Linked DNA regions of Stegostoma tigrinum. The protein of the gene in region 1 purifies or fractionates together with the protein of each later gene. This does not show direct contact. Links are inferred from orthologs where the notes say so. Each region holds a gene or a part of one and is shown in the gene's direction. Other genes may lie near its edges.

Region 1 (11,058 bases):
CGTGAGCTAGGCAGCATTTATTGCCAATCCCTAATTGCCCAGAGGGCAGTTCAGAGTCAACTACATTGCTGTGGTAATGGGAACTGCAGATGCTGGAGAATCCAAGATAATGAAATGTGAGGCTGGATGAACACAGCAGGCCCAGCAGCATCTCAGGAGCACAAAAGGTGACGTTTCGGGCCTGGACCCTTCCTCTGATGAAGGGTCTAGGCCCGAAACGTCAGCTTTTGTGCTCCTGAGATGCTGCTGGGCCTGCTGTGTTCATCCAGCCTCACATTTCATTATCTTACATTGCTGTGGGTTTGGAGTCACATGTAGGCCAGGCCAGATCAGGATGGAAGTTTACTGCCCCAAAGGACATTGGTAAATCAGATGGGGTTTTTCCAACAATTGACAACAGGTTCATGGTCATCACTAGATTCTCAATTCCTGATATTTTATTGAATTCAAATTCCACCACCTGTTATGGTGGGATTTGAACTCAGATCCCCAGAATGTTATCTGGGTCTCCGAATTAACAGTCCAGCAAAAGTACCACTAGACTATCACCTCCCCTTGTTCCACTTGCCTGGAATGAACAAAACCTCAATATGAAAGCAGATAGCCATCGTCTGAGATGGCGCGGATTACTTACTTGGTACCCATCAGATGCAAAGGTAGCAATGCATCCTTTGACTAAATCTTCAGAACCACTTCTACCACTTAGGAGAGCCAGGGCAAAGGATCACTTCTACGAGCGAAGTCTCACATCATCCTGACCTCAAGAGTAGGATAATAGGTCAGCACAACATGATGGGCCAAAAGGCCTGAACTGTTGCACAGCTTCTTCACTACCGCTGCATGCAAAGCTGAGAACTCCTATGCAAACAGCACTGTCTCAAGAAGAAAGAGGTTTTACAAACGTTCAAGGCAGTGGCTAAATCTCAAGAAGAAGAAAGGTTACACTCTTGAAAATTCAAATTGATAGTGCTGATTAACCTGCAAATGCCCAACTTTAGTTTATTGTAACAGTTTAATGTCTTCAGCATCAGTGGCTTGATTTGCATATACTCTCTCATTTACTGTTTTACAGTAAACTTAGGTACCCTGTAGACAATTTAATGCCATAATCTAGGAAACCTGAGTACCAAAAACACCACAGAAATAGCTGATATTAACAAAGCCTATCTATTCCACTAGAGCTGTTTGACAAGACTACATCAAGAATACACTTGACCACTTTACACTATAACAAACAAGTCAGCTTCACCGGAACATGTAGATTGGCCTCTAGGCCAGAGGTATTACCTGAATTTGTTTTTTCATATTTTTGTTTTTACTCAAGAATTCTAAATTGGTTGCAAAGTTCATGGATAAATTTGAAACAATCCTCTGAAACACAGCCATTTCACACTCTTTGTGAAAGTAACTTCCACTCATTTCATTGATATCCAATTAAATTTACTGGAGTAAGTCCAATAAACTATTTCCATTCATGAGCTCTCAAGTTACTAGGCTGAAGACACATGGCTAGATACCAACAAGTAATTCACGAGATCAGACAACTACAAAAACCAGTTCATGTCAGACAGACTTAAAATGAACAAAATCTTAATATTAAATCTGTACTTGAACGCTGGAACACCCCAAAAAAAAATGAAACTGCGGGGACCTGAAGCGAACATCCAGGACCAACCTCAACACATTATAACGATACAGATAACAAGGTGTAGAGCTGGACGAACACAGCAGGCCAAGCAGCATCAGAGAGGCAGAAAGAAGGGTCTAGACCCGAAACGTCAGCCTTCCTGCTCCTCTGATGCTTCTTCACCTGCTGTGTTCATCCAGCTCCACACCTTGTTATCTCAGATTCTCCAGCACCTGCAGTTCCTACCATCTCTGATACACTATAACGATAACTACTTCTGAAGGCAAGTCATTACTCAAATCCACACGGTATTCAAGAATTGGATTCCATCTGCAACTTTTTTAAAACTTTAAATATACTATTTTCAAGTTCACATGAAACTAGCTCGACAGAGGTATATACAGAATCCAGTGTATTGGATACTCACAGGTTGATGGTCCTCTCCAGGGTTAGCGGCTTTGCCTGCAGGTACTTATTCCCATATTGAGACACTCCGCGGGGCCAGCCCGCCTGCGAGCGGCTCGGCGGAACCACAGACATAGCAACAAGCTGATGAAAGGTACGGGACCCAGTGCAGCGTCGGGAACGGGTTCTCCCTCTCTCACACACACAAGGATCAACAAGGCCGCCTTCGCGCTTTAACCCGAAACCCACGTTTCCAGGTCAGGGAACACTTCCGGGTCAGGGAAACAACGCTCGGTAGGGGGCAGTATCGCAGTGTTGAGGGGCAGAAGGCTTGTCCTGTTCCTGAGTAAGTGGCAGAGATGTCAGTGCTGACAGAAGCATGTCCGGGAAATCGCTGAAAGGAAAATTTAAAAAAAAGCTGGCGATTACAGGGCCTCAAGCAACATCCGTGGAAATAAAGCAAGCTAATGATTCGAGTCTGGCTGACTCCTCCTCAGAGCTGAAGTGGTGGGGGGTGGTGTGGGGAACAGCGTTTACACAGCAGTTGGGGAGGAGGTTGCAGTGTAAGATAGGTCTCATTTTCGTAGCTTATCATTCGAAATACAGGCTTTTGTTCAGTGAGGGTTTGGCACATTCGGACGAAACTTGCAACCCTTTATTCTGGAATAAGCTGTTTTCGCAGGATCAAAGCACTCCTGGTAGAGACGCTGCATTATTGCAGTGATATCGTGCAGGTTAAATATTAAACCACAGCCTGCCCCAGGCGAAGTTTAAAAAAAACTTTAATGGTTATATCGCAAAGAACATATATAATACATGTTCCAAGAATTTTTTTTAAAAAAACTGTGCTGAATCAAACAAAACTATAAAACTAACAGTGATAATGGGAACTGCAGACGCTGGAGAATCCAAGATAACAAAATGTGAGGCTGGATGAACACAGCAGGCCCAGCAGCATCTCAGGAGCACAAAAGCTGACATTTCGGGCCTAGACCCTTCATCAGAGAGGGGGATGGGGTGAGGGTTCTGGAATAAATAGAGAGGGGGAAGCGGACCCAAGATGGAGAGAAAAGAAAATAGGTGGAGAGGAGAGTATAGGTGGGGAGGTAGGGAGGGGATAGGTCAGTCCAGGGAAGACGGACAGGTCAAGGAGGTGGGATGAGGTTAGTAGGTAGGAGGTGGAGGTGCGGCTTGGGGTGGGAGGAAGGGATGGGTGAGAGGAAGAGCAGGTTAGGGAAGCAGAGACAGGTTGGACTGGTTTTGGGATGCAGTAGGTGGAGGGGAAGAGCTGGACTGGTTGTGTGGTGCAGTGGGGGGAGGGGACGAACTGGGCTGGTTTTGGGATGCGGTGGGGAAAGGGGAGATTTTGAAGCTGGTGAAGTCCACATTGATATCATTGGGCTGCAGGGTTCCATCATGGGCTAACTGCGGTGCCACAATGATGCCACCCGAAGGTTGCAGGAACAGCAACTCATATTCCGCTTGGGAACCTTTGGGACACCCAAACAAGTTGTGAAACTGCAGGGACCTGAGGCAAGCACCCAGGACCAACGTCAACACATTATAATGATAATTATGACTGAAGGCATGTCATTACTCAGATCCACATGGTATTCAACATAGAGTTTCTATCTGCAACAGAAGGGTCAACGGACCCGAAACATTATCTGTGATTTTTCTTCACAAATGCTGCCAGACCTGCTGAACTTTTCCAGCAACTTCTGTTTTTGTTCTTGATTTACAGCATCTGCAGTTCTTTCAATTTTTAACCTGCTGATTTGTCTTCATTACTTGCTGTTGTGGTACCTTGTGTGAAAATTCTGTTTGTCTACGTGGATTGCATTCACTGAATGTGTAAGCTTATAATGTCCCTTAATGGTACTAAAGTGCTAATGTAACTCCTCCATTCCTGTGTTGTCCACTGCAGTGGGAACGATTTTGAATGGAACCATGGTTGCCTAGCAGACAATTGCCAAAAGATTCACATTTAATTACTTATCCATTAGCTCCAGACTGCCTCATGAATGTATCTTGGCCACATTACTCTTTCATCTTCTTTCATTGGATGTACTTCTCAGGTTGCTCGGTGAAATGTTTGATCTATCTCTCCCTGGTTCTTCCAATCAACTATCTTAGTCCTGTCACGTTGTTTGTCTAACAGTCAGCATTTCGAATTGCAATTGCATCCTGTTAAACTTAGGTAGACTGAAGCTATCATATCTTATTGTCTTTCCCAATCTCCATCCCTTAAGCCTGGCCATTGCCTATTTAAACAGACATCATATGTTCTACAGAACCAGTCGAAAGAAGAACTGGAGATTTTTTGCCCATCATAGTTAACATTTAGTATTCAGCAAATGAGAATATTCACCGTTGTATTTGCCTACATGATCAGAGCTACTGACATTCTGAAATTAATTTGTTATTTTTGTAGCATCTGGAATGTCCTTTGAATGTGAAAGGCGCTTTATCTTTTCTTCATATTTAGGTTTCACTTCCAAGAAGGCAGATTATTTGAACAAGTAATACAGATGATTACCATTACTGTGACCGGTCAGTTCATGTTTTGGAGTTGCCGCACACTGCATGATGGATTGTATCCTTTCTGCACAACTTAACTGTGATCTGTTGATTTCTTCATGATTCTTGGCAGATCTTGCAGGATCTTTTGGACGATCTCAAATAACCCCATAATAGGACCATGCACAGATTTCATCTTTCTGTTATAAATAGACCCCTTGAAGTACATATTTCTACTTGTCCAACCAAGGAAAGATATGAGCTGCACCAGCTCATTCATCCTCATTGACTCACACTGTGCTTTGGACTGAAGCTCAGTAATTATGTTCCCCCACTTTGTAATGGGTTCACAGGTTAGTGTTTGAAACATCAGAATGAGTAATGTAGACTAGTGTGCAGCACTAGCTTCAAGATCTCTTTTTTACTCATCGAATAGCTACATAAGCATAAGAAGAATGTAAGTTATCATGCTAGCTGCATGACTGGTACATCTGTGGTAATAAATGATGAGTTGATATTGAGGGTATGTTTTTTCTGCCAAAGAGTGATTAGATAGAGGCTTACAGGAACATTTCGGTCCTAACCCTGAGCTTGATTTAATCTAATTTCACCTTTCTCTCGATGCTGATAGTACAAATAATTTTGAATTTTGATTCTTCAAATGCACCCAAGAACTTTACATTTTAACATTCACTTTTCTTGGACATGCTTCCAACCGTGATTATGTTCTGTTAGAAAAAAAGGCAATTTTGACATTTGGCAGAAGCAATGACAGCAATACTCAAGTGCCCGATTGTTTATTTCATATTTCCTTGTGCACAGGTATTTTTCACCTGATTTATTGGAAGAATTATATGCGGACTTTTTAAATGTAATTATGACACAATTTCATGATGTCAGTTGCAGCTGGAAGTTATGTCCTTTGTTATTGCCCGTGTATGTTTGGAGGAGCTATGAGTTTGCTGTGTGCTTTTAATGAGAGCATTAAATATATAACATATCATAATCAAACACCTTGTCATTATTATAGTTTGCTCATCTACTTTAACAAAGGTAACACTGTAAAGTCTTATCCTGGCATATTTTCTCAGATCATCAAACCTTGTTTACGTCTGCTCCCATGTTTAGTAAACATTGGAGACATTGTAGAACCTTTTTCCAAGCATTCAGCACTGCTTATACAGAGATTCTGTAATGCAGGACTAACCCAAATAATCTAGATTTTGCCAGTGTCCATGAAAATATGCAGCATGGCAGCAACATCTGTGAAAGTAGAGTGTCCTTCCATTTTACCAGCGTACCAATTGTGAACAATCCACTTGTCCATCTCTCTGCTTGCCTCATTCTTTTTTTGCCTATTGTTCTTGCTTAATTTTTCAGTAAATCAATTCCTTCACCTCCTTTCTCTTCTATTTCCTTTCCAGTCTTCCTTTTCTTTCCATGCTCTTACATGGCCTTTCATTGATTAAACAGGGTTTTTTTTATAATTGTAGTTCCTATGTTCTGGGTTGGAGGGAGTTATTTGATTAATGTTTCATGAAAACATCAGTTAGTGGTTGCAACAGTCAAGAAAGAAATTTGAGCCTGGGCCATTGTGATAACAGAGATCTTGGGCCATCGAACAGCCAGGGAATTGGGAAATGATAGACATGGGAAGTGAGTTTCTGAGTAGAAAGGAAGTCTAAAGGTGGGATGGGATTTAGATGAAACTGAGGCTGGGCAAGATAGCTTTTCATCCATTTCCGGATTTACTATTCAAACAAGCTAATCTAGATTGGTGAAAACGGAAAGAAATGTGGAGGCTGTAAATCAGGAACAAAAACGGAAGTTGCAGGAAAAGCGGAAGCAGGTCTGCCAGCATTTGTGAAGAAAAATCACAGTAAGCCACAACAGTTCTGAGGAAGGGTCGCCTGACCCGAAATCCTACTTCTTCTTCACGGATGCGGCCAGACCTGCTGAGCTTTTCCCGCAACTACTGTGTTTGAATCCAGATTGGTGAGCATGTTAGGTGATGGGCAAACAGAACATGATGCAAGCAATCAGCGAAAGTTTGGATTGGTTTAAGTTCGAAGAGGACGGGATAGTTGAGAAGAGAAACTGTAATACTGAAAAACAGAGGACAACAGTATGGATAAGGGTCTCAGCAGCAGACGGCACGAGACCGGGGTGATGCCACCAGCAATGATGATTAAACCTATAATAACTACTTCAGAATATTATGAGCGAATTCTGTAACTCTAAGCTTAGTAAGGAATGCGTCAAAATGTATATTTGTTAATACCGTCCTCCAAAGAGCTGTTATTGATGACTGCAGGCATGACTAACTGACTCGGTAACCATGGAGACTATCTCCATGACAGTGCGATCCGACATCCCCGTCACTTCGGGAGGTTCTCCGTCCGGCGGCGTCGTCTCAGTACGTCACTTCCGGAGGTTGTTTCCGGCTCGCTCTCCCCCCATCCTGTGTGCTGACGTCACCGATATCGTTGGCTCGAGTTAGAACGGGACCGTTTCTGCGTGCCCGAGCGTTAACGGGAATCTCGGTGCCGTCTCAAGCCAGGTCACTGGGGTAACGGCAGCGCAGCCATCAGCTTCGCCATGCCGCTCCTTTTCCTTGAGCGTTTCCCCTGGCCAAGCTTGCGGACCTATACGGCCCTGAGCGCAGCGCTGTTGGCGATCAGCCTCTTTAGCGCCTATTCCAACCTCAGCCTGCCCCCGGGCCCCGCTGCCCTGCGGGTCCCCGACCCCGGCGATCCTACCCCCAGCGACGCCACAAACGGCGATCGGCCGAACGGAATCGATGAGGGCGGCAGCGGCCGGGAAAGCGGGGCAAACGCCGCCCAGTACTTGTCTCCCAATCATGGTGAAGGCGATCTGGGATTAACTAGTCGACCCGACTGGGCCAATGGCCATGGACTGGCGGCACAGATGGCCTGGTACCTGGTGTCAGACGGCTGGTGTGTTTGGGTGAGTGCTTGTATTGCTTCGTTGTGTTTTTATGGGGGGGTGTCAATTTAGTTTTGTAAGGAAGATGAGTTTCTCTGGCCTTTTGGACTGATCAAGCAACTTGTAGACGTGGTTTAAAATTCTAAAACCTTATAGGAAACAATTCGTTAAGGGACAAAAACAAAGTTGCTGGAAAAGCTCAGCAGGCCTAGCAGCATCTGTGACCCTTCCTCAGAACTGTCTTATTCAGACCCGAAACGTTAACTATTTTCCTTCACAGGTGCTGCCAGACCCGCTGAGCTTTTTCAGCAACTTTGTTTTTGTTCCTGATTTACAGCATCCGCAGCTCTTTCACTTTTTAAATCGTTAAGGGAGTTCTTTTTGAACACAGTAATCGATAACGGAATAAACGCATTGCTGCCGTTGTCACTGACTTGTGTTTCTAAACGTTCGGGTCAGAATTCACTGACGCGGTTAGATATTTCAATGTGTACTCCAAAAGAGTTTCCGTTGGAATGAAAACAAATTTTCATAATCTACTGTTGCAGTTTTTTTCTGTTCTCTAAAACCTCTTAAAGATTTTTACTGTAAAATTTATTTCACGTTCGTCATCTGCTAAAATGAATGATGCAGGGCTCACCTAATACTATCGTTTGAAACAGAAATAGTGCCTTTCTACACTCGCTGGGTACCATCTTTCTTCTAGCGAAAACTGAAGGAAGACCCATTTTATTCCTTCAATTCGGATCCAGTGCGTTTCCTTCTAAGTTTCAGGAGGTGCCCTCGGAGGTGTGTCTAGCTTTTCAAATATTCTACGAATTGAGTTGAAGCATTTCGGATAGAGAACTGAATATTTGGAGAAATAAAAGAAATGTAGTATGAAAGATTAGGATCATACGATTAGGGAGATTAAGCCATACCTCTTCACAATTCTGTTTGAGTGTTGTAGAAGGTTCCTGAACTACAGGTGAGTTTGAAGTGTTGGGCAACAGTCGGAAAATGGAGTTAAAGTTGTGATTGGATCAGCAATGATCATACTGAATGACAAAACAGACTGGAAAGGCCATAACACGTACTCCTATTTGTGTTCTTGGGTTTTTGCATTGTGATGAGGAAACCCATGAAATAACTTTGAGCTCGTATGTAACCCTGGGAATGAAGGGATGGAGTGTTGAGTGATGTGAGCTCTTGATTCATTTAAGATATGTAACTCTTAAGGGTCAATGCTGGTAGCATTGCTCTATCCAAGTCATTCAGAAATACAATGTAGGAAAAAATTCCAGAATTTGCTGATTGTGTTACATGTGGACCTGCGGTAAACATACAGGATGATACCAATGAACTGTAAGATGGTAAAGCAAAATGGGTAGCAAATTGCAGATAGAATTCATTGCAGAGAAGTGAGAGGTGATACATTTTGGTCAAAAGAATAGGAAGAAGCAGTATATGCCACAACTGCAGCATTGTGCCAAGTTGTAGGAAATGATGGTCCTTGTGATGGTGTAGACAAGATTCACTGAATTGCTCCAGGGAGAACAATCCTGGAACCAGAGGTTCAGGAGAAATCTGACAGCTGGACAAGACTGAGATAACAAGGTGTAGAGCTGGATGAATGCAGCAGGCCAAGCAGCATCAGAAGAGCAGGAAGGCTGACGTTTCGGGCCTAGACCCTTCTTTCTGCTCTTTTGATGCTTCTTGGCCTGCTGTGTTCATCCAGCTGTACACCTTGTTATCTGAAATTCTTCAGCATCTGCGGTCCCTACTATATCAGATGGACAAGACTGACATTTTTGACATACACAAGCGATTTGCATTAGTTGTCATTTTTAAAAAGTCAGTACGGATTAAAAGTTTTGGATTAGCAAATGGTTGGAATGGGAAGAATGATTTGTTAACACAATAAGTGGCAATGATTTAGGATTTACTCTTTAAAAGACTGGTGGTAGTGGAGGCAAATCTTTTCATCAAGGTAAACTTGCTTGGCTCTGAGGATAGGGCAGTGCCAATGGACTTGATTTGCGGAATAGTTGTTTCTTGTGTTGTCATGATTCTAAGTTTCAACATTAAAGTGAAAACTTCATTTTGACTGTAACCATAATTTGCAGATTACAAATGAGGGAGCCAAAAGCTATCTTGAGAAGGCATTTCAAATCATACTGAACCTTTAAATATTAAGTTGGGTTACAGCTATTTTGAATGCTTATAAGTTGGATATTAAGTTCTCCCCTTTTTCAGATAGGTGAGTCAAAATATGGACAGACTTGGCGGGGGTGGTCAGAGAAATTTTGAAGCTGGTGAAGTCAATATTCGGGCCTTCTGGCTGTAAGCTGCCAAGGTGAAATATCGGGTGTTGTTCCTCAAGTTTATGTTTGGCCTCACTCTGACATTGGAGGAGGCCAAGGATGGACATGTGACCAGGGGAGCAGGGGGGCCAGTTTAAAGTATATGGCAACTGGAAGGACAGGTTGGTTGGTGTGTGCAGAGAGCAGGTCTCCGCAAAACGGTTCTCGAGTCTGGTTTGGTCTTTCAATATAGCGGAGACCACATCGGGAGCAACAGATACACTAGATGAGGTGAGATGAAATGCAGTTGAATCTCTGCTGGATTTAGAAGGATTGTTTGGGAATTTGGATGGAGTTGAGAGGGGAGGTGTAGGCGCAGGTGTAACCCCTCCTGCAGTTGCAGGGAAAAGTACCAGGTGGGGAGTGTGGAGCTGACGGAGTTATGTAATGAATAGTTTCTACGGAAAGTGGACAGGGGTTGGGAGGGAAGTATCTATTTGGTGGGGTCTGATTGTAGGAGAGAGAAATGTTGGATGATGATACATTCTGTTCGGAAGTTGGTGAGGTGGTATGTGCAGACTAAGGGGACTCTATCCTTAGTGTAGTTGAGGGGAGAGGGTTTGAGGATAGACGCGCAGGAAATGGGGTTGATTTGGTTGACGATACCCTTAATAACAGAAAAGGGTAACCTACAGTCCCTAAAATAGGAGGACATCTGGGAAGTAGTAGAGTAGAATGCCTCACCCTGAGAGCAGATGCAGTGGAGGCAGATGAATTAAGTGTGGAGTAGTATTTATGAGAAGGGTGAGTGAGAGGAGGTGTAGTCGAGGTAATTGTCTGAGTCAATCGGTTTGAAATGGATGTCAGTGGTGACCCACTTACCAGATATCGAGATGGAGAGGTCCAGGAAGGGGAGGGAGGTGTCAAAAACAGTTCAAGTGAATTTGTGGCAGTGGTGGCAAGTGTTGGTGAACTGTTCAAGCTCCTCGCTGGAGCATGAGACAGCACCGATACAGTCACCAGTGTAGCGACAAAGAATCCGACAAAGAGGCAGATGTAGCTCGGGTCCGTGCAGGTGCCTGTGGCCACCCCTTTGGTTTGTACGAAATAGGAGGAATCAAAGAAAAAATTGTTGTGTGAGAGGACCAGTTCTGCCAGGCTAATGAGTGTGCCGTTGGAGGGGGACTGGTTGGGCCTATGGGAGAGGAAAAATCGGGAGGCTTTTTGGCCGTCTTTGTGGAGGATACAGGCATTCTGGGCAGGAAATAGTTCCCCAAA
Region 2 (10,491 bases), on another chromosome or scaffold:
GAGACCATAACTGCACACAGTACTGCAGTTGTGGCCTCACCAGCACCCTATACAGCTACTGCATAACCTCGCTATTTTGAAACTCCATCTCTCTATCAATGAGGATAATATTCCATTTGCCTTCTTAATTACCTGCTGTACCCACAAATGAACATTTTGTGATTCATGCACAAGGAACCCAGGTCCCTCTAACAGCAGTATGCTGCAATTTTTCATCATTTAAATAATATTCCATTTTGCTGTTCTTTCTGCCAAAATGGATGACCATACATTTACCAACATTGTATCCTTGCCCACTCACTTACCCACTACCTATATCCCTCTGCAGACTTTCAGCATCCTCTCCACACTTCGCTCCACCATTCACTTCAGTGTCACCCTTGAACTTTGAAACACTGCACGTGGTCCCCAACTCCAAATTATCTTTGTAAATTGTAAACAATTCCAATCCCAACACTGATACCTGAGGCACACCAGAAGCTACAGGTCTCCAAACACAAAAACACTCATTTCTCCCACTCTTTGCTTTCTGTTAGTTAAACAATCTTCAATCTATGCTAATATATTACCTGTAATGCTGTGGACCCTTATCTTCTGCACCACCCTTTTGCATGGCACTTTGTTCAAATGCTTTCTGGAAATCCAGATTTCGCACTGTCCACCGCACTTGTAATGTACTCAAACAATTCGTGTAAGTTAATTAAACATGACCTGCTTTTCATGAACTCATGCTGTGTGTGCCCAATGGGACAATTTCTATCCAGATTAAGCGACTGCTGGACATGCACATGGACAGCAGTGAATTGAGGAGAATGTAGGTTAGGTTATTTTGTTTTTGGATTAGGATTATTCCACGGCACAACATCGTGGGCCGAAGGGCCTGTACTGTGCTGTACTTTTCTATGTTCTATGTTCCACTATTTCTTCCTTGATTATAGATTTAAGCATTTCTCCCACCACAGTTAAGCTCATGGACCTATAGTTATCTACCTTTTGTCTACTTCTGTTTTTTAAACAGTGGTGTTATATTTGCTGTTCTCAAATCTGCTGGAACTGTTCCAGAGTCCAGCGAAGTTTGGTTAAAAAGTGTATTTGCTATTTCCCCCACCATCTCTTTTCCTACACTGGCATGCACTACCTCAGGGCCAGGCAACTTGCCTTCTTGTTTACGTCTTTTGGTGAATTACAACATACAATTGGCAAATAATAACGTTAATCTGAAAACTGGGTGGTACAGTGGATTGCATTGCTTCATCATGGCACTAGGGACCCGGGTTCGATTCCACCCTCTGGCAACTGTCTGAGTGGAGTATGTACATTCTCCCTGAGTCTGTGTAGGTTTTTTCCAAGTGCTCAGGTTTCCTCCCACAGTCCAAAGCTGTGCAAGTTAGGTGGATTAGGCTTCGGAAATGCAGGGTTACTGGGATAGAGTAAGGGGTGGGTCTGGGTGGGATGCTCTTTGGACAGCTGATGTGGATTCAATGGGCTGAATGGCCTGCTTCCATACTGTAGGAATTCTCAAAGCAAATAGGGAAAACCTTTTTCAGAGCACGATAGTGGGCCAATGAAACTAGATATTTTTGGATAGATTGAATTTTAATTTAGATATCTTTTCCTGTTTAGGGAGTGGAATAATGAATTTTCTCCAGCATTAATTTGTATAGTGTTTGTGTATACGGGACCAGTTTATGTCCAGATGAGTCAGAAAAACTGAAGATAGAATATCTTTTTTGGCTCAGTATCAGTATTTGTCCAATTGTGCTTTCGTGAAGTGCCTTGGGAGTTTTTATTATGCTCACTGTGATATAAATGCAATGTCTTGCTGACCATCTAGTTTCTATATTTTTACCACAAGCCATACTTTCAGTCATCATTCAGCAGATTATGGTTCATTTCCAGCTTTACTATGCAAGGTGGAGAGTCATCTGAATTGTAGTCACGGCTGAATTAAATCAGCTATTAAGTTATTCATATTGGGTTTTTTTAAAGTTTTGTTTGAGACATTTTTACAGTCTGATTCATTTAAATGAATAAATACTTAAGGTTTACTCATTTTATTCACGTACAATGTGACCAATAATAGACCCCTTAACATTGATAACAATGAAAGAGAACATGAAGTTTCAATTAAGGGAAATTGTATCACAGTGAATAGTTTAACATCACGTAGAGAGATATGATTTACATTTGGGGATATTTAATCTTCCACTCACCTTAGTTCAATGATCCATTCAAAATGTGCACTTTCATGGGCCACCAGTCACATTCCAGTAAGTTGCTTAACCTGCTATTTTGTCAGTGTGTGCATGTGCTGAATCTTGCTCAACCATTTGAGCGTGGAATGCAAGCTAATAACGTCATGTCTATCCTCCTCCAATGCCCACCCACTCGCCTTACGAAGCAGAGATCCTTGGATTTAATTTTGAGTTTTACCTTCCAGCCAAGGAATGTTTGACTGCCTGTCTCATTACTCTTCTTACTGGCTAGTCATGATAACACTGGATTGCCTTGGTGTCTTCATCAACTTTATAAAAATTAGCAAAGGGTCACAGGAGATAAACTTCCAAATTCTAAAAAGGAAACAACAACCTAATAGACTAAGTCATAATATTGCGACCTATGTCAACTTACCGTTTAGTTACTCCAGACCTAGCTTTCACAACATTTCAATGGAGCTGTCAGAACCATGTTCCTTCACGTCTACAGCTACATCAATTCCTGAGTAGTGCTGGTGAAGGCTGCCAGTAGGTGTGAAGTTTTCTAGGCTGAAACTGCAGGAATTTGTAACAGATAATGGAAATAATAATTGTGTCAAATAGTATTTACACAACACACTAACCAAGAAAAGTCTCCAAGGGTGTTTGTTTTGTAGGATTTAGGATTTGATTAGTTTTGTCCTTCTAGAAAGCAATTGTTTTTGCCAGTTTTTGTTTTAAAATTGGGTTGATGTCTCCTATGCTTTAACAGAAAACATGTCTAGACTATTGGCTATTTCAGGTCAGTTAATAGAACATAACAAGTACTGTTATTTGAGCCGAGACAAAATATCTATTTTATTGTTTATTAATAATGACATTCTTGAAAATAGTGTTTTAACAAGAATTTGTATTTACATACTGCAATTAAGATCGTCAAATTCCTGAGGTACCTCCATAGAAACATGAGTAAAATTTGAGACCAATCACTGGAAATTTTAGGATGGTCAAAAATGTAGGTTTTAAGGAATGCTTTAAAGGAAAAAAAAATTAAGGAAGGAATTCTAGGGTGATGGTAACTCAGAAATTATGGATATGTTTAGAAGGTCAAGTTTGAAAAGTGCAGGTACCTTAGACAGTCATAGAGTTGGAAGAGATGACACAGAGAGGGAGAGGTGAGGCCGTGGAGTTATTTGAAAACAAGGATGAAATATTTTAAATTAAGGAATTGCTTAAATCTGAAACAACTTTGGTCAGTGAGCACAGTGGTGATGGATGAACAGGATTTAGTCTGAGCTTAGACACCGGCAGCAGAGATTTGGGTGATTTCAAGCTTACTGAGGGTAATAAGAAGCTGCCCAGGAATGCATTTGAATAATTATAGATGTTATACAGTTGGTTAGAAAGGATTTCAGCAGCAGATGATTTAAGGGATGTTAACCAATGATGTTGCAATGTGGAAGCAAGCACACTTAGTGATTGGGCAGATAGGTAGTTGGAAACTCACCTTGGATTGATGCTACATTGCAAAGAGTCGGGTTCAGCTTCTGAGGGTTGCCATGGAGACTGAATCAGTGGCTAGGAAATGGAGCATGGAATGTGTGTGCGGTTGGTGTGGGGATCTGAATGTAATGATTTTGGTCATCCTGATATAGAATTTGAGGAAATGTCTGCTCATTTCCTGAGAAGAAATTTCTGTTGGATCAACAATCTGATCATTTAGAGAGTGTGGAGGATTGAGAAATGTGAGTAGTTTATCATCAGTATATACGTGGAAATCGAGAGTGTTTCCTGATCATGTCACTGAGGAGAGACGTAGAGGAGAAATAGGTAGGGGTCAAAGGTAACAGTTCAAAAGAAGATGGTTATTGTCAGGTTAAAATTAAATAGATGAGGATGAAACTGGGAAAGTTTTCTATTAAAGTGAGCCAACAGTGAAGAGGCATTGGAAGAACTTCTTATGGTCATTCAAAATTATAGGGTGCAGACAAATTTAGAAGAATAAAAATATATTTTACTGTCACTCACAAATAAGATGTCATTTATAACTTTGAGATGAACTATTTCAATTAGGCAGCCATAGAAACATAATTTGGGTGGATTCAAATATGAAGTTTTGAGAAATATGAATACAGATTAATTGACAAAAGAATGTTAGAGGATCTTGGAAATATAGTTTGAAAATGGAGTGGCAGTTTGTAAGGATGAAGTTCAGGAATGAAGGATTGTTTTTAGGTCAGGTAGAATAGTACCTGAGAAGACAGAGCCATTAATAAAGTCAACTAACATGGAATCATAGAAAGGAAGTTGGTCAACAGTTTAGTGGAAAAGTGACCAGGAAGTAGGAGGTGGGAATAATGGACAAGATGAACTTATAAGGGCAGTTGGGGATATAGTATCAGTCATTTGTGGCTTAGTGTGTAGTATTGTCATCCTCTGAATCAGGCATTATGATTTCAAGTCCTGCTGCAGGACTTAAGCACAAAAATCAAGTACTAAACTGTCAGAGATGCCCTTCACAGATTTCTCAGAACAATCGCATGGCAGTGAAGATGTTAATCATGGTTTCCCTGCTAATACTTAGTCACGAATTAACTTAAGAACATTCGTTATCAAATCGCTGTTTGTGGCAGACTGCTGTGCACAAATAGGCAGTCATAGTTTCTAAATTCCAAAACTACACAAGTAACTAATTTGTTGTAAAGTACTTTGAGACAGCCTGAGAATTTGAAATCGTAAAAGTGTTGTCAGAGGTGCAATTGATGGATGCAAGCCGGAGGGGATTAAGATAGTTTGCAGTGAACAAGAGGAGCTGTTGTTTATGTTTATTTATTAGAATTATCCTGGTGAAATAAGCAGTTTTGGCTTAGGAGAGCAAGATCTAGCAGCAGCAGCATCATTCAGGTAAGATCTCACAATGAATACCTAAACTAGTTGTCTGCCATGTCTACTCAAGTCTGTTACCCTTTGCTCATCGCCGTTAAGTAGTAGGGTGAGGCTCATGCCGCTAATGGCAATTGTAGAATATCAAGCCTGGAGGTGTAGGTGCAGTTGACTTGTTTTAATTGAAGAACAGAGGCTAAGTAGTGGGATTTTGAAAGCACAGCTGTTGAGTGTAAATTGAAGAAGCTTTCTGTGAGTATATACAAGAGGCAGGAACGTTGGAAATGGGATGCAAGTGGAGAGCAATACAAACAAGTAACTGGCATGAGAATATTGAGGCCGTGTAAGATTAATTGCAAGATCAATGGATGGGTGCAAATGTGGTTTGGGGAGTTTACATGGAGGGAAATGTTAAGCTAAGACGGCAATGAACTCAGAAGGCAAATTTAACCGGAATGGAGAATTTCAAAACGTGATTCAAAAGTCATTGTTTAATCACGACTAAAAAAAAACTCTCAGATAGAAGTCTGAACATTAATCGCTTGGAAAACTACTTTGCAAACATTAGCGTCATATCATTCTATATCTAACATGTCTAACTTCAAAGAACATCTTTTCCACCCACGTATTTCAACTATTGTCAGTATTTTTGTGCGTTGGCAACGCAATCTTGTCTGCGCTCAGCCTCCTACATCAAGACCCATCTTCAGTGTTAAGGATGGCAGGAAGGGGAGGAAACCTCCAGAGACACGTGTTGCGACGGGTATTAAACGTAAAATAAGCGGATACGAGTTGTAGAATATGTGTAGAGTGTTGTAGAATTCTAGAACTCCCGGGCGAAGGTTCCGGCATCCCAGGCTAAAGTTCTGGAATCACGGCCCAGCTCTCATGACCAATCGCGTGCTGCACTGAATTGAACTTGCAACCTCTCAACCCAGGCGCCACAACTCCATCAACTGTTAAGGTCGGCGCCGGGCGATTCCGAGAACTACCGAAGAGCGTCGGTTGTTTCCGTAACCGGCCCACTATCTGTGCTGGAATGCATCGAAATCCAAAACCCGATGCGTAAAAATACCTCGTACCATTTTTAAATATTGGTGCAATTTCAGAACTCAACTACTGGTTGGGCCGCATTTTTTTTTGCGTTTCGTGGTTGCGACTTTACCCAAAAATCATCTACTTCCGCACGGGCCTGGAACGCAAGATCCAAGATGGCGGCGCCTGGCAATGAAGAGGAGGAACTAACGCAAGAACAAACAGAGAAACTGTTGCAGTTTCAGGTAAATTCATCAAACTTAACAGAATTCCATAGAGGGCGACGTGAGTCGTCATTCTCAGGTACTTTTTAATTCGTTAATTGAATTAATTTAGTCCTGCTGAAGGGCTGAAGCTTCTGCACCTGTGGCATTTTCTGTATTCACAACATTTTCTGGTAACCCTCCATCTGGCATAATTCACTTAGAGCAAGGAAAAAAAACTGTCAACTACAATTCCATTTACAAAATTCTAAACAGTTAAAACCCTAATAGTGTTAAAAATTGAATTAGCTGGATCTATATTTTATGCTGAATAAACATTTGGTGATTATCTTAACTGAAACCATTTTAACTTTAACAAAAAGAGATATTGCTGGAAAACTCCAGCTGGCCTGACAGCAGCTGTGGAGCATTTGGAACATTTTAACTTTTATCCTTTTTGCTTTTGAAGCAATGTGACTGTGTCGTGAAATGTTCACTTATGAAATAAGCTTGTGTTTTGCAGGACTGATGTATGCTAAGCTTAGTGTAGAGTATTTAATTTGTGATTTTATTAAGTGTGTGGCAAACTATCTGGAACTTGTTAAAACTTTGTAAATGTTAGGGGTCTGTGAAATTCTATCCCTTGGAAAAGAAGAACATTACATTAAATGAAACAATAACTTAAGAATTACATCAATTAGTTGAAAGTTGAAAAGGCTGAACTCATCTTAATGAGCAAGTATTTCTCTGAATTTTCAACAATTTTTTAAAAGATTTTCAAGCCAGACACTGTAACCGTATGGTTTTACATTTGTATCCTGTATGTGTAGTTCAGGTGATATATAAAGTCTTGCATTAGATCTGATATTGCAAAAGGTGAGATTCTTGTACTGCCAGATAAGCATTTTGCAAGGCAAGAATGGATGAAATTGAATGCATCGCTAGCTATCAGGAAGTTTCCTCAAATTGTTTGTTCTTGCTTCAGCCACGAGATAGGTCATAGAGTGGTTGCAGCACAGTCTCATACCTTCTTTGAAAGAGTGGGTGGTGTTGTTGAGTGGAGGAAGAGACAGAGAATGAAATGACAAATCAGAATTTTTTTGTAGAGATAGTAGGAACTGCTGATGCTGGAGAATCTGAGATAACATGGTGTAGAGCTGGATGAACACAGCAGGCCAAGCAGGAAAGCTGACGTTTCAGGTCTGCATCCTTCTTCAGAAATGGGGGAGGGGAAGGGGTTTCCGAAATGAATAGGGAGAGAGGGGGAGGCGGATAGAAGATGGATGAAGGAGAAAATAGGTGGAGAGGAGATAGACAGGTCAAAGGGGTGGGTTTGGAGCCAGTGAAGGTGAATGTAGGTGGGGAGTTAGGGGATGGGTTGGTCCAGGGAGGACAGACAGGTCAAGGAGGCAGGATGAGGTTAGTGGGTAGGAGATGGGGGTGGGCCTTGAGATGGGAGGAATGGCTAGCGAGGTGGGGAGTAGCTAGGCTGGTTTTGGGATGCAGTCGGGGGAGGGTGATTTTGAAGCTTGTGCAGTCCACATTCATACCCTTAGCCTCCAGGGTTCGCAAAATTTTTTGTGTTGGCCCTAAGGTACAAATTACATTTTAAGTTGTAGAGGCAATTTAGTAACAACTTGATGGATGGATATTACAAATCCCCTTAGAATCAGTCATAGAGTTGTCCAGCCTGGAAACTTTTTCAAACAGGAACTTGTAGGACTTGAACCGTGATATATTGGCCCAGAGGTAAGACACTACCACTTCACCGTAGGAACTCTCAAGTTGTTTGTATAGGAACATTGATGTAGAAAAATGCCCCAAGGCACTGAACGACAATTTTTTTTTACAACATGGATAACTGCAGGGGAGACATGTGGAAGAGGGGTTCGTGACCAAAAACTTGGTCGAAAACTTAATTTTGAAGGAGGAGGAAACCCAAGCGGACTTATGTAGGAATTTTAGATGTTAGGGGCTTGACAGCTAAAAGAATGATCCTAGTGGTGGAACAATTAAAAGTGGACATGCAATAGGCTAAAACCTCGATTGTGGAAATCTTGGATGCTTGTGTGAATGGAAAAGCTTATGGAGATGGGGTGAGATGAGACCATGGAGGGTTTTTAAAGCAAGGGTTTATTTTTAACATGGTTAAGCTGTTGCTGATGTACTCTGCTGCTTTCTGCAACCAAAATATTGATAGGCAGTCTAGCTTTGGATGAGATTATTAGGGTGGAACAGAGGTGTCCATCAAGAGGAACATTGTCTTAGCTTGACTATATCTCAAGTACAGATGAGAGTCATCTGCATATTTACTTGAAGCAGACGTGGATGTGTATATCATCTTGGGAAATGGAATGGCTATGTGATAGAAAACTCATTGGAGTCAAACACAATTGCAAAGTTGTGCATAATCTTCCTCTATTTTCAAATTTGGCAGGTACGGAGATGGAAAAGGTTGTTGCAGAAGAAAGATTCTGGTGGTAACAAACTTCAGTGATCGCAATACTTAGGCATGGGAAATACCTGCTTGTTCAGTACTGAATGTTAGCTGATTGAATCAATTATCGCTGAACTGCCACACTCAATGTTTAATTAGAAACGTCATTTTGAGTTAAAAACTGAAAGAACTGCAGATCCTGTAAGTCAGGAATGAAAACAGAAGACCTCTGTTCAGGCTCTATCCTATCATTTACTCCCTATCCCATTCCCCTTCCTATTTTCTGTATATAAACCAACATTTTTCCAGCTACCATCGGTTCTGAGGATAGTCACTGGATCCGAAACATTACCTCTGTTTTTTTTTTCTTCACAGATGCTGCCAGACTGCTGAGCTTTTCCAGCAACTTCAGTTTTTGTATGTCATTTTGAATATTATTTGAATACTTAAGTATTTAAACCAGCTCCTCAACTGATCTCTAAACATGAGTTTTTGGTGAAGGCTCAAAACGTGAAAAGATACATCTAACGACCCATTAAAAACAATAAAATGTTAGTTGCCTGAAGCATCAAATAATATAAATGGATATTTAAATTTAATAGTTCAATGTTAACATGTCTGTACTGTTTTAATTAAAATACTTTTCTTGTGATATTTCTCACCATAGGACTTAACAGGTATCGACTCAATGGACCAATGTCGCCGTACACTTGAGCAACATCATTGGAACATTGAGGTACAAAGGAAGCAAACAAAATTGTATACAAAATATTACAGTGGGTTTTGGCGTTGATTCGGAAATGACTTTCTACGTGCTATCTCCTATTTAAGGAATGTTTCTGATATTTCACTCAATTTGACTGTTCTCCTTGTTTAGATATATTACTAAGAGCCGTGGTGAGCCCTAACAGTTTGTGATTGGTCACTTTGTATAAATAATATGCACTATGATTTAAAACTTAACCTGTTTTATGGATTTAGTTTTGTTTATTTAAATTATTCTCGATGTTCAATTTTTCTCATCCATTTCTATTTTTATCTTCTAGGCAGCTGTTCAGGATAGGTTAAATGAACAAGAAGGCGTTCCCAGTGTCTTCAACCCACCTTCCTCTCGCCCACTTCAAGTTCACACAGCAGATCACAGAGTCTATAGTTATGTAGTTTCAAGACCTCAGCCTAGGGTGAGGCCATATTAGTTATTTTATTCATTGTTTTCACTTTAAAATTTTATCAAAAATAAGTCATCAAATCATATTTTGCATTATTTATTATTAAATTTGATTTTTGTATTTGATATAATATGCTCATTTGTAACTCATTATTAGAAAATGGTTGAGAATTCCCCAACTGAAATTACATTGAATCTTGATTATGATTGACATTATATCAATAACTCATTTTATTCCTTGCTTATTTAAAATAGATTGCTGGTAGGGCAAGATAAATCATTAATCATAGTTTTAAGAGGTAGCTCATCAATACTTAGTGACCTCATTCATAAAATCAGTTTATGTACTCATTGTATTGTACCCTCTGTCCTTCAAGTATCCAATATAAGTTTGTATTTTGTGACCTGGTGGTAGTATGGTCAAGCCATTGGTGAGGTTTGCCTATGTACAATATAAAACTATTCTAAATTTGTTTGTTTTAATAAGAGCAAAAACCATTGGGTTTGTTCAATTTTTGTAATGGAGTGATTAACAGTAATATCTGATTTTTACAGGGTCTCTTAGGATGG
Region 3 (10,233 bases), on another chromosome or scaffold:
AGTTCTCATCCAAGAACTTTTTTTAAAGGTTGTGAGGTTGCCTGCCTCAAACCTCCCAGGCAGTGCATTCCACACCCCAATACCCTCTGAGTGAAACAATTTTTTCCTTAAATCCCTTCTAAACCTTTGGCATTCAACTTTAAAACTGTCTCTTTTTGTATTGACTCTTCAACTAAGGGGTAATAGCTGCTTTCTATTCACCCTGTCCATGACCCTCACAATCTTATTCACCTCTAACAGGTCCTCCCTGTATCTTCTTTATTCCAAAGAAGACAACCTGAACTTATCCAGCCTCTCTTCATAGCTAAAGTGCTCCAACCCAAGCAATATCGTGGTGCACTGCCCTGGTAGCGTCTCCAGTACAATAACATCCCTCCTGGAGTGTGGCTACCAGAAATGCACACACAATATTCCAACTGTGGCTTACTCAAAATTTTGTAAGGCTCCCACATAGTCTCTCTACTCTGATAATCTACACCTTGACTGATAAGGGTAAGTGTCCTATCTACCTTAACTACCTGATTAACCTGCTCTACCATCTTCAGCGATTACGGACAAGCACCCCACGATCCTACCATTCCTCTAAGCTTTCTAGCAGCTTATCATTCACTGAATACTCCTTTGTCTTGTTACTTCTTCTGAAGTGCAACACTTCACATTGAGGGTTAAGTTTCATCTGCCATTGATTTACCCATTTGACCAAAGTGATTAAATCTTCCCGTAAGTGAAGACCTTCATCTTCACTGTCAAATCTCTGTGTCATCCAAAAACTTATTTATCACCGCTGCCCTCCCCCCACCCAAAAAAAATCCACATTTTTATCTCCATCGTTTATATATCCTGAACAATAAGTGACCCTGCACTGATCCCTATGGTATGCCACTGGGCACCAGCCTCCAGTCAAACAAAGTCTTCTACCATCATCCACTGTCTCCTGGCACCAAGCAAATTTTAGATCCAACTTACAAGGTTATGCTGGATCCCATCTGTTTTTCTGGTTAGTCTCCAATCCGGGACCCTGTTAAAGCCGCTGCTGACAAAATCACATCTAACTATGTTAAAATCTCAAACACTGGAGAGATTTAAACATAGAACATTTTAACACCTAAACATATGGATCTCTCATCTTCTTGAATCAGTGAATAAAGAAGTTCATCTTTATTAAACAATTCTCAGGAACTGACTTTCATGGTTTGATACCGTTTACCAGCAAAAAGCTGAATATCAAAGTTTAACTAATTTGAGGGACATTGCATATTACCAATGGGACTGAAATAGTAATTTAAAAATAATAGCTCTCCATAATGTTTCAGAAGTTTATCACCTCTGAGGGAAAGGTTTTAGAAACAGTCCTAACAATGCTTTAAAATTGCACACTGACACCAAAGATGGGACTGAGGCATGAAGTCATGTAACGAAGTGTGGAGCTGGATGAACACAGCAGGCCAAGCAGCATCTTCGGAGCACAAAAGCTGACGTTTCGGGCCTAGGCCCTTCATCAGAAAAAAAACTTTTTTGTGCTCCTAAGATGCTACCTGGCCTGCTGTGTTCATCCAGCACCACACTTTGTTATCTCGGATTCTCCAGCATCGGCAGTTCCCATTATCCATGAAGTCATGTGATTTGCATTGTACATTACAAATTAATAAGGGATGACATCCACGTTTTAAACAAAAAATGCTGTTGTGTACAGTCTGTTAAAGCTACCATTATATAAAGTCCGCTCGATCATTCCACGGGTTGAAGAAACAATGCATTGCAGGGCACAGAAAGATCATGGATGCCTCTGGTTCGATCTGTGTTATATGAGCTGATCCTCTTTGGGACCGTGCAGAGAAGGTAACGTGAGCGAGGAGAAAAGGTTTATCAAGCAGGGATCTCCTTTATGAGCTCCACCCTTTGATACGGTTTAAAAATATTGACGCTGTGTGTCGGAGCTAAGGCTGCCACTCTGAATGCACTCATTCTGGGAGTTTCGTGGCAATGGGACTATTCTGGATGTGAGTTTGTTCGCTGAGCTGGAACGTTAGTTTTCAGACGTTTCGTCATCATTCTAGGTAACATCATCAGTGAGCCTCCGACGAAGCTCACTGATGATGTTACCTAGAATGGTGACGAAACGTCTGAAAACTAACCTTCCAGCTCAGCGAACAAACTCACATCCAGCACCTCAACCTGAGCTACAAATCTTCGCAAAACTCGCTAGCACCTATGGGCGCAATACGCTAAAACTGGCCCAAAGATGGGAAACCAATGCCATCCGACAGAGTGGCTACTTGGGGAGGAGGTGGGAGTGGATCACCGTGCCACTGAAAAGGTCGAGTGGTGGAGTGGAAGATCGCAAGGACTACACTGACGCTCGCCACAGTCGAAAAGGAGAGCGATCTTCGACACCACGCTGATGCCTTCCCCAGTCGAATGGGGCGGGGGAATCTCAAGCACCGCAGGGATGCCTGCCACAGTCGAATAGGTGTGTTAGCTATAGGTGGCAGACAAGGCTGGCAGTGTTACCCGTCGGCTGTTGAGGGGTTGGGCCTTCGATGCCAGATCTTTCCCTGCGGCCGGGCTCCAATGTCGCTGATCTGCATGAGGCTGGCAACAGGTTCGGCGGCAAATTCAAACTTTATCCCACTGTCACCTCACCACATCAGCCGTAAAAATACACAAACGCCTCCAACGCCACTGGAAAAATAAAACTGAAAGGTTTTCTAGAAAACAGACAAATTAAATCAAAACCCAATTTACAAATTCAAGGAACTTCTACCAGACCCTCGAACCAAATAACTGACACGCTCGCCCTCAACATCCGGTCATGGAGGAAGTGACACCATCACGTTCGCTGACCGCGACGCATGCTGGGAATTGTAGTTCTGAAGAAACGTTAACTCAGCTTTTTCCCCCACAGATGTTGCCAGACCTGCTGAGTTTTCCCCAGCAATTTATATATATTGAAAAAAAAAGACTTCCCACAGTGTGGAAACAGGCCATTCGGCCCAACAAGTCCACACCCACGCTTACCCATCGCCCTACACTGTCCCTGTAACCCTGCATTTCTCAAGGCTAATGCACATAACCTGCACATCACTGAACACTCTGGGCAACTTAGCATGGCCAAACCACCTAACTTGCACATCTTTGGACTGTGGGAGGAAACCAGAGGATCCAGCAGAAACCCATGCAGACACAGGGAGAATGTGCAAACTCCACACAGTCGGTTGTGTAAGACTGGGATCAAATTTGGTTCTGTGGTCCCAGCAGTGAGGTAGCAGCGCTAACCACTGAGCTACCGTGCTACCTTTCTTTCTTTCTGGGAATTGTAGTTTTGGGGGTTCATTTAATAACAGAAGTTGATGGAAAGAAAAAAATATATTTTCCCAGGGCAGAAATGGCTAGCACGAGGGGTCATAGTTTTAAGCTGGTTGGTGGAAAGTATCGAGGGGATGTCAGAGGCAGGTTCTTTACGCAGAGAGTTGTGAGAGCATGGAATGCGTTGCCAGCAGCAGTTGTGGAAGCAAGGTCATTGGGGTCATTTAAGAGACTGCTGGACATGTATATGGTCACAGAAATTTGAGGGTGCATACATGAGGATCAATGGTCGGCACAACATTGTGGGCTGAAGGGCCTGTTCTGTGCTGTACTGTTCTATGTTCTATGTTCTATATTTAGAGTGTGTGCCAATGACATACTTTTTGAAGTGTAGCCCCTGCTACAATGCAGAAAATACATTCAATTTCACAAATAGTAATGAGATAATGATAAAATTGATGTTGATTATTGTTCTCTCTCCATATTTATCTCTCAACTATTTCAGAAAAGCAGCATACCTAGTCATTTTCTCATTACATCTTAATTCAAAGATCATGTCTAGTCAGGACTACAGGTTTTTGCCATGGTTCTTTGTGTAACTGAACTGGCCAATTCTGGATTTGCATAATATCTTTTGGTATTGGGGTAGGATATCTTATAGTTTAGCAAGGTGCCAGCACTTTTCTGTTTTTATGACTTGCTTTCCTTCCAGTATGTTCGTTTCAAAGATGGCTGATAAGTTTGTAGACCTTGTGTGTCTTTGTTGATGCCTCGATTTTATCTTTGCATGACTCCAACAAAATGTCTAAATCTACTTGGTGTATTCCTACATGAACCATCTCCTTTATAGTTAGTCACGGGCCAGGCACTTCCTAGTGTTGTTTGGGATATTTGATCCCTTCAAGGATGCTTTGACAACATCCCTGAAGCATTTCCCCTGCCTTCCTGGGGTGTGGCTTGATGTCTAATTTCTGAGAAGAGGACGTACTTAGGAGTTTGATGTCAAGTATATGAACATGTTTTTCCCAGCAAAGCAGTGATGTGATGATTTTGTGTTTCCTATCCCACAAAAATCCTGCTCCTAAGATGCCACTTGGCCTGCTGTGTTCATCCAGCCTCTCCAGCATCTGCAGTTCCTATTATCTCTCTACCTCAATGATTTTTAAGTGCATTGAGACATCTTGAGGCTGTGAAGGTGCTATAAAAAGCAAAAATGTTTCTGATACATAGAGTTCACAGGTTGCTTCTCCCATGTGGTCATTCAAATTAAGGTTAATGTTGTGCAAGGACTTCACAAAAACCCTGTAAATAACCAGCTGTGATTAGTGGGGTACTACAGAGATCCATACAAGGACCCCAGATATTCAGAATATATGTTCATAATTTAGTTACAGAAATAATATATATTTCAAAATTTGCTGATGACACAAAGCTGAGTGGAAGAGGAGCCATGAGCGGGATGCTGAGATGTTGCAGTGTGATTTGGAGAGGCTGAGTGAATGGACAAATACATAGTAGATGAGGCAAAATGTGGATAAGTTTGAGGTTATCCACTTTAGTAGGAAAACTAGAAATGGCTGTAAATTCAGAGGTGAATATTCAACAATGGATGTCCTAGTGCACTAGTCACTGAAAGCATGCAGGTGTTGTAAGCAATAAGGCAAACTGTACATTGGCCTTTACGGCAAAAGGATTCAAGTGCAGGAGTAAGAATGTCTTGCTGAAATTATATGGGCTATTGGTGAGGCCACACCTGGAATTTGTATGCAGCTCTGGTCTTTCTATTTGAAAGGATATTCTTGCAGCAGAGGGCGTGCAGTGAAGGTTTACAAAATTGATTCCTTAGGTGGTAGGACTGTCATATGAGGACTGAGTTGGTTAGAACCGGTGTTCAGAAAAATGAGGAGGGGATCTCATAGCAAACCTATAAAGCTCTAACAGGATTAGACATAGGAAGAATGTGGCCCATGGTAGGGGAGTTCAGAACCGCGAGTTTTTTAAGAATGAGGGATCAACCTTTTGGGACTGAGGAGAAATCACTTCACCTAGACAGCGGTAAGCCTGTGGAATTCACTGCCACAGAAAGTAGTTGACACCTAAACATTATGTTTTCAAGAAGGAGGTGGCACTTATAGCTATAAGGATTGAGAGATATGGGTCATGGGCAGGATTAGGTAATTGAGCTCAGTCATCAGACATGAGATAATGGGAACTGCTGATGCTGGAGAATCCAAGATAACAAAGTGTGGAGCTGGATGAACACAGCAGGACAAGCAGCATCTCAGGAGCACAAAAGCTGACATTTCGGGCCTAGACCCTTCATTAGAAAACCCCTTTTCTGTTATCTAGTCTTTGTTATAACTTTGTTATCTAGTCATCAGGTATGGTTCTTTTGAAAGGCGAAGCAGTCTCGAGAGGTCCAATGACCTATTCCTGCTCTTCTCTTCTGTGTGTCCGGAGATTTAAATCTCTAAAATCTTTAAGTTATGCACACAAAACCCGCTACTGAAACTTTACAAACGTGAGGGGTTTGAGGCACAAGCATAAGGCCAAACAGGCTGAATATCCTGCTGATGTGTAGAGCCAGTGTAACAATGCACATCATCCAACTGCTGGGTGACCCGGAAGCAGTGAGGTGTGGAGGCGCGTGGTGCGGCCACGTCACTGGAAACGAGTGCCGGTTTTCCCAGCAGCCCTTGGGTTGACAGTCGGTCAGAGCAGAGTGACGATTGTGGGTTTGTCGTTGTGTGTCCGGAGCGAGAAAGGTTTCGTCGGGCTGGTTTCCTTCCCTCGATCCGGCTTAGGATGGCGGACAGCGGCCTGGGCGAATGGTACCGCAGCATCCCCCTGGTTACGAGGTATTGGTTCACGGGCAGCGTGATCCTTCCTGTCCTGGAGAGGCTGAACATGGTCAGCGCCAGGACCCTGGTGCTGTGGGCCGAACCTTTCTTCAACAACTTTCAGGTAGGGTGACAACTCCATCGGATAGTGTCACTCCAGTTTAGGCTATTCTCTGCCGGGAGCTAGAGATTCTCAGACCTCTTGGGGGGTGAGGCGTGGTCGAAGGGCTCACTTTTCAACTGGATTAGTAATCTCAGATAAATCATTAAAGTATGTTATGTATACGTAGAGATTTCATAATGTTTCTAACTGTAGCCATCGGCGGAAGGATTTGCCTGCTTGTCGCTGAAGAGTCTGTCTTCATGTGATATTTGACAATTTAAGATGTTTGGAGGATAAATGACGATTCTATCCAACCCTTCGAAGGCCACCTGCACTGCTTTTAGTAATTCTGAAGAACGGTCACTGGATCTGAAACGCCAGAAACGAAATTACTGGGAAAAACTCAGCAGGTCTGGCAGCGTCTGTGGAGAGAAAACAAAGTCAGTGCTGGTCAAGAATTGGAGTTATCTGCCATCTCAAAGCTCGTAAAACTGAGTTGAAGCAAGTCATCCTGAACCCCATTGGATGGCCTGTAGAGAAGAGTACTTTTGCCATTTAAAAATAAAACCCTCTTGTTGCGTAAGGCTGGGTTTACCTGGGTGCTTAGTGACTGCAAGTCTCCCTAGTGATCTTGCTGAAGCCACCAGCCTGTGCCCCTCCTGGAATGCAAGCCTTCTGAAGCAAAGCAGCCAGCTCAACCTGCATACATGAACCACAACCTGTTCCCACCTCCATCATTTTGCAGACCCCTAGATGGTCTTTGTGTATCCCAGTTTGAGAATGCCTTAGACTTAGAGTCAAGATCAGATTCAACCCTGTTGCAGGACACTGAAGATCGCCAAATTGTAACACTTTTCCCTTGCTCCCTGTGTACATTACAGCATATAAATCCAAATTAATCTTCATTCACTCCTGAAGACCAGCTACTTTCACCAAGCATTTGGTCACCTGCCGCTGTATCAGATTTTTGTCAAACAGTCCTGTGAAGTACCTTGGGACATTTTACTACACTTTTCATTGATACATTGACATTAAAGCCCAGGGCAGATTGATGATTTTCAGTTTATAATGTGAAGTTTGAGTACAGAAGAAGAAAGAGCACTTCACGTCTTCCAGATCACTCAAAGTACTGTAAAATCTTTGTGAATTAGTTAAAATGATGTCTGTAGCAACTTAGTGTTGTATACAGAATTATTTTTAAAAGTATTAATGTGTAAGCATATTTACATTTTTATGAATATATTTATATATGTAAATATACCAGTTGTTTGAATCTGTATATTAATCAATAGGACGATAGTTTGCTATTATATATCTTGCTCTCTTCCAACACTTTGGGAAATAGTGAGCTGTATTAAATAACTGAACTCGTATACCAAAGGCCTGTGTTAATGTTTCATGGACACCGGTTCAAATCCCACATTAGCATGTGGAATTTACATTCACTTATTACATCTTGAAATTGAAAGCAAAATCTCTACAGATTAAGTGGTTTCTATGTACACAGCTATTCAATTTTTCATCTCAATTTTCTCTGCTTAAAAAAACCTTGCATTTATTTAGCATCTTTCATCACATGTCCCAAAATGCTTGACAGCTGATGAAGCACTTTTGAAGTGTAGTCACTGTTGTAATGCTGGATATGCTGTGGATAAGTTGGGATCTTGCAGCAACCACAAGCAGCAGTTGTTAAACCCCAGTGAAACTGCTTTAGTGATGCTATTTTGAGGAATAATTATTGGCTAGGACACCCGCGCAAATTCTCAGGCTGTGTTCATGAGCAACATTCTCACCAGTTGAAACAAGAAACACGTGTGTGCATAAAAGTAACTTGTAGTGCAACATTGATTAATTTCATTGTCTTGCTCTGGATGGTGCATTATTACATTATCCACTTGGTTGGAAATCTACAAACTGGTTGCCACATTTCTTACATTGCAAATGACGACACTTCAAAAATGAAGAAGTGACAGTGAGATGACATTCTAGGATTGTGATAAATGCTGTGTAAATGCAAGGCACATCTATTGGAAGAGACAAAAAGATATTTTCAGAAGGGAGAATTAAACATGGCAATGTGAACAAGAAAATCACTTTTTGTGGCAAATCGTTGTCACAAGGAGAGTTCTGGAGCAATGATTGTGTGTGTCAAAGATTTGTTGATGTCAGTTTGAATTTCTTGCTGCCTTATTAGTTTAACAATATTGTGAATATAGTCTACATTGCAAAAGAATACTTTTATTTCTTTGTGCATTTGTCAAAACGTGACAGAGGCAGCATGACAGGTTTTGTATACTCTCCTCTCCACCTATCTTCTTTTCTCTCCATCTTCGGTCCGCCTCCCCTTCTCTCACTATTTATTTCAGAATCCTCTCCCCATCCCCCTCTCTGATGAAGGGTCTAGGCCCGAAACATCAGCTTTCGTGCTCCTGAGATGGTGCTTGGCCTGCTGTGTTCATCCAGCTTCACACTTTGTTATCTTGGCTTCTCCAGCATCTGCAGTTCCCATTTTTTCTGACAGGTTTTGATTGTTGGTATTGTATGCTAGGAATAAAATTGTTTTTGATGCAAGTAGTGATCAAAATTTTGTTTGATTCTCAGTACAGATGATGTGTCTGAGGGTGATGAACAACCAATATTGTTTTTATTTACATACACAGATATGGAGGCCAATAACTGCAAGCCTGTTTTACCCAATGGGGTTCCATTATTTGATTCAGCTATACTTCCTGTATTCCTATTCCTCAAGCTTGGAAAGAGGTTGGTTTCTACTCCTGTCTTTGCGCTGCATCCATTTTGTGCATTGAACTTTTCAGAGATTTTCTTCTGAAAAAAAATGTATTTAAAAAATTAAGTGAAAGTACTAATCCAGGAGCTTGTCTAAATTCATCATTTTGATATTTTAAAAAAAATTACAAATATTGGGCACCAATGTTTTTGCTCACAAGCTGGAATAATTTTAAAGTGTAGAGATTAAACTTTAGTTTCAGAAGCATTTTAATTGCACAAACATAGGAAAGAGATACACAATCCAGTATAAGGCATTGTTGTGTTAGATAGTTTTATATGTTTGCAAAGCTATTTATCCTGATACAGCCCTTCAAATCCCTATGAACTCTAAATGCAGTATTTTCACAACCTCCAGGATGGAAATTGAAATTAGATTCTTGACGAAGATTGAAAAATCACTGATCTTAGAGTCATACAGCATAGAAATAGACCGTTCGGACCAAACTAAACTAGTCCCAACTTCCTGGCCCAGCTCTCCAAACCTTTTCTATTCATGTACTTATCCCAACGTCTTTTAAATGTTGTGATTGTACCCATATCCACCACTTACTCAGGAAGGTCATTCCATACACGAACCATCCACTGTGTAAAAAATTTTCCCTTTTTTTTAACATCTCTCTCCTGTCTCCTTAACATGTGTCCCCCAGTCTTGAAATTCCCCCATCCTAGGGAAAAGACAACTATTGATGAGGCCTGTTCCAAAATACTGTGTCCAGTTCTGGTTGCCCAGTTTTGGGAAGGATTGAGCTGGAGAGGATTCAGAGGAGATGTACTAGGATGTTGCTGTGTATAGAAGGTTTGAGTTATAAAGAAGGGGTGGATAACACTCTCTACACCTTTTTATTATTTTATAAACTTTTATAAGGTCACCTTTCAACTTCCCATGCTCCTGTGAAAAAAGTCCCAGCCTATTCAGCCTTTCTTTATAGCTCAAATCTTCCATAGCTGGCAACATTCTGGTAAATCTCTTCTGAACGCTCATCAGCTTAATATCCTTCCTATAACTGGGCACCCAGAATTGGACACAGTATTCCAGAAAAGGCCTCCGCTACGTCTTGTACAAGCTCAAAATGACTTCTTAACTCCTATACTTGAAGGACTGAACAATGAAGGCAAGTGTGCCAAATGCCTTTTTAACCACCTTTCTATACGTGACACAAATTTCAAAGAATTATGTGCCTGAACCTCTAGGTC

Evidence for each region. The genes of interacting proteins can lie anywhere in the genome.
Region 2: the proteins of amfra (region 1) and faf2 purify together in Homo sapiens (affinity purification with western blotting; 9 studies listed by BioGRID and IntAct, with this or other methods). This does not show direct contact. The link is inferred for Stegostoma tigrinum from reciprocal best matches to the Homo sapiens genes AMFR and FAF2.
Region 3: the proteins of amfra (region 1) and derl1 purify together in Homo sapiens (affinity purification with western blotting; 4 studies listed by BioGRID, with this or other methods). This does not show direct contact. The link is inferred for Stegostoma tigrinum from reciprocal best matches to the Homo sapiens genes AMFR and DERL1.

The regions. Positions count from the first base shown.
Region 1 is NC_081369.1:10,281,498-10,292,555, forward strand, and holds the start of amfra (autocrine motility factor receptor a), read left to right. Parts: upstream 1-6,984; 5' UTR 6,985-7,150; coding exon 7,151-7,519; intron 7,520-11,058. Other genes in the region: nudt21 (cleavage and polyadenylation specificity factor subunit 5), read right to left, coding at 2,055-2,167. UniProt on the Homo sapiens protein: E3 ubiquitin-protein ligase that mediates the polyubiquitination of lysine and cysteine residues on target proteins, such as CD3D, CYP3A4, CFTR, INSIG1, SOAT2/ACAT2 and APOB for proteasomal degradation.
Region 2 is NC_081366.1:45,948,601-45,959,091, reverse strand, and holds the start of faf2 (FAS-associated factor 2), read left to right. Parts: upstream 1-6,234; 5' UTR 6,235-6,289; coding exon 6,290-6,358; intron 6,359-9,420; coding exon 9,421-9,489; intron 9,490-9,799; coding exon 9,800-9,934; intron 9,935-10,476; coding exon 10,477-10,491. UniProt on the Homo sapiens protein: Plays an important role in endoplasmic reticulum-associated degradation (ERAD) that mediates ubiquitin-dependent degradation of misfolded endoplasmic reticulum proteins.
Region 3 is NC_081358.1:39,218,490-39,228,722, reverse strand, and holds the start of derl1 (derlin-1), read left to right. Parts: upstream 1-5,976; 5' UTR 5,977-6,111; coding exon 6,112-6,270; intron 6,271-8,909; coding exon 8,910-9,009; intron 9,010-10,233. Other genes in the region: tbc1d31 (TBC1 domain family member 31), read right to left, coding at 2,512-2,588. UniProt on the Homo sapiens protein: Functional component of endoplasmic reticulum-associated degradation (ERAD) for misfolded lumenal proteins. Forms homotetramers which encircle a large channel traversing the endoplasmic reticulum (ER) membrane.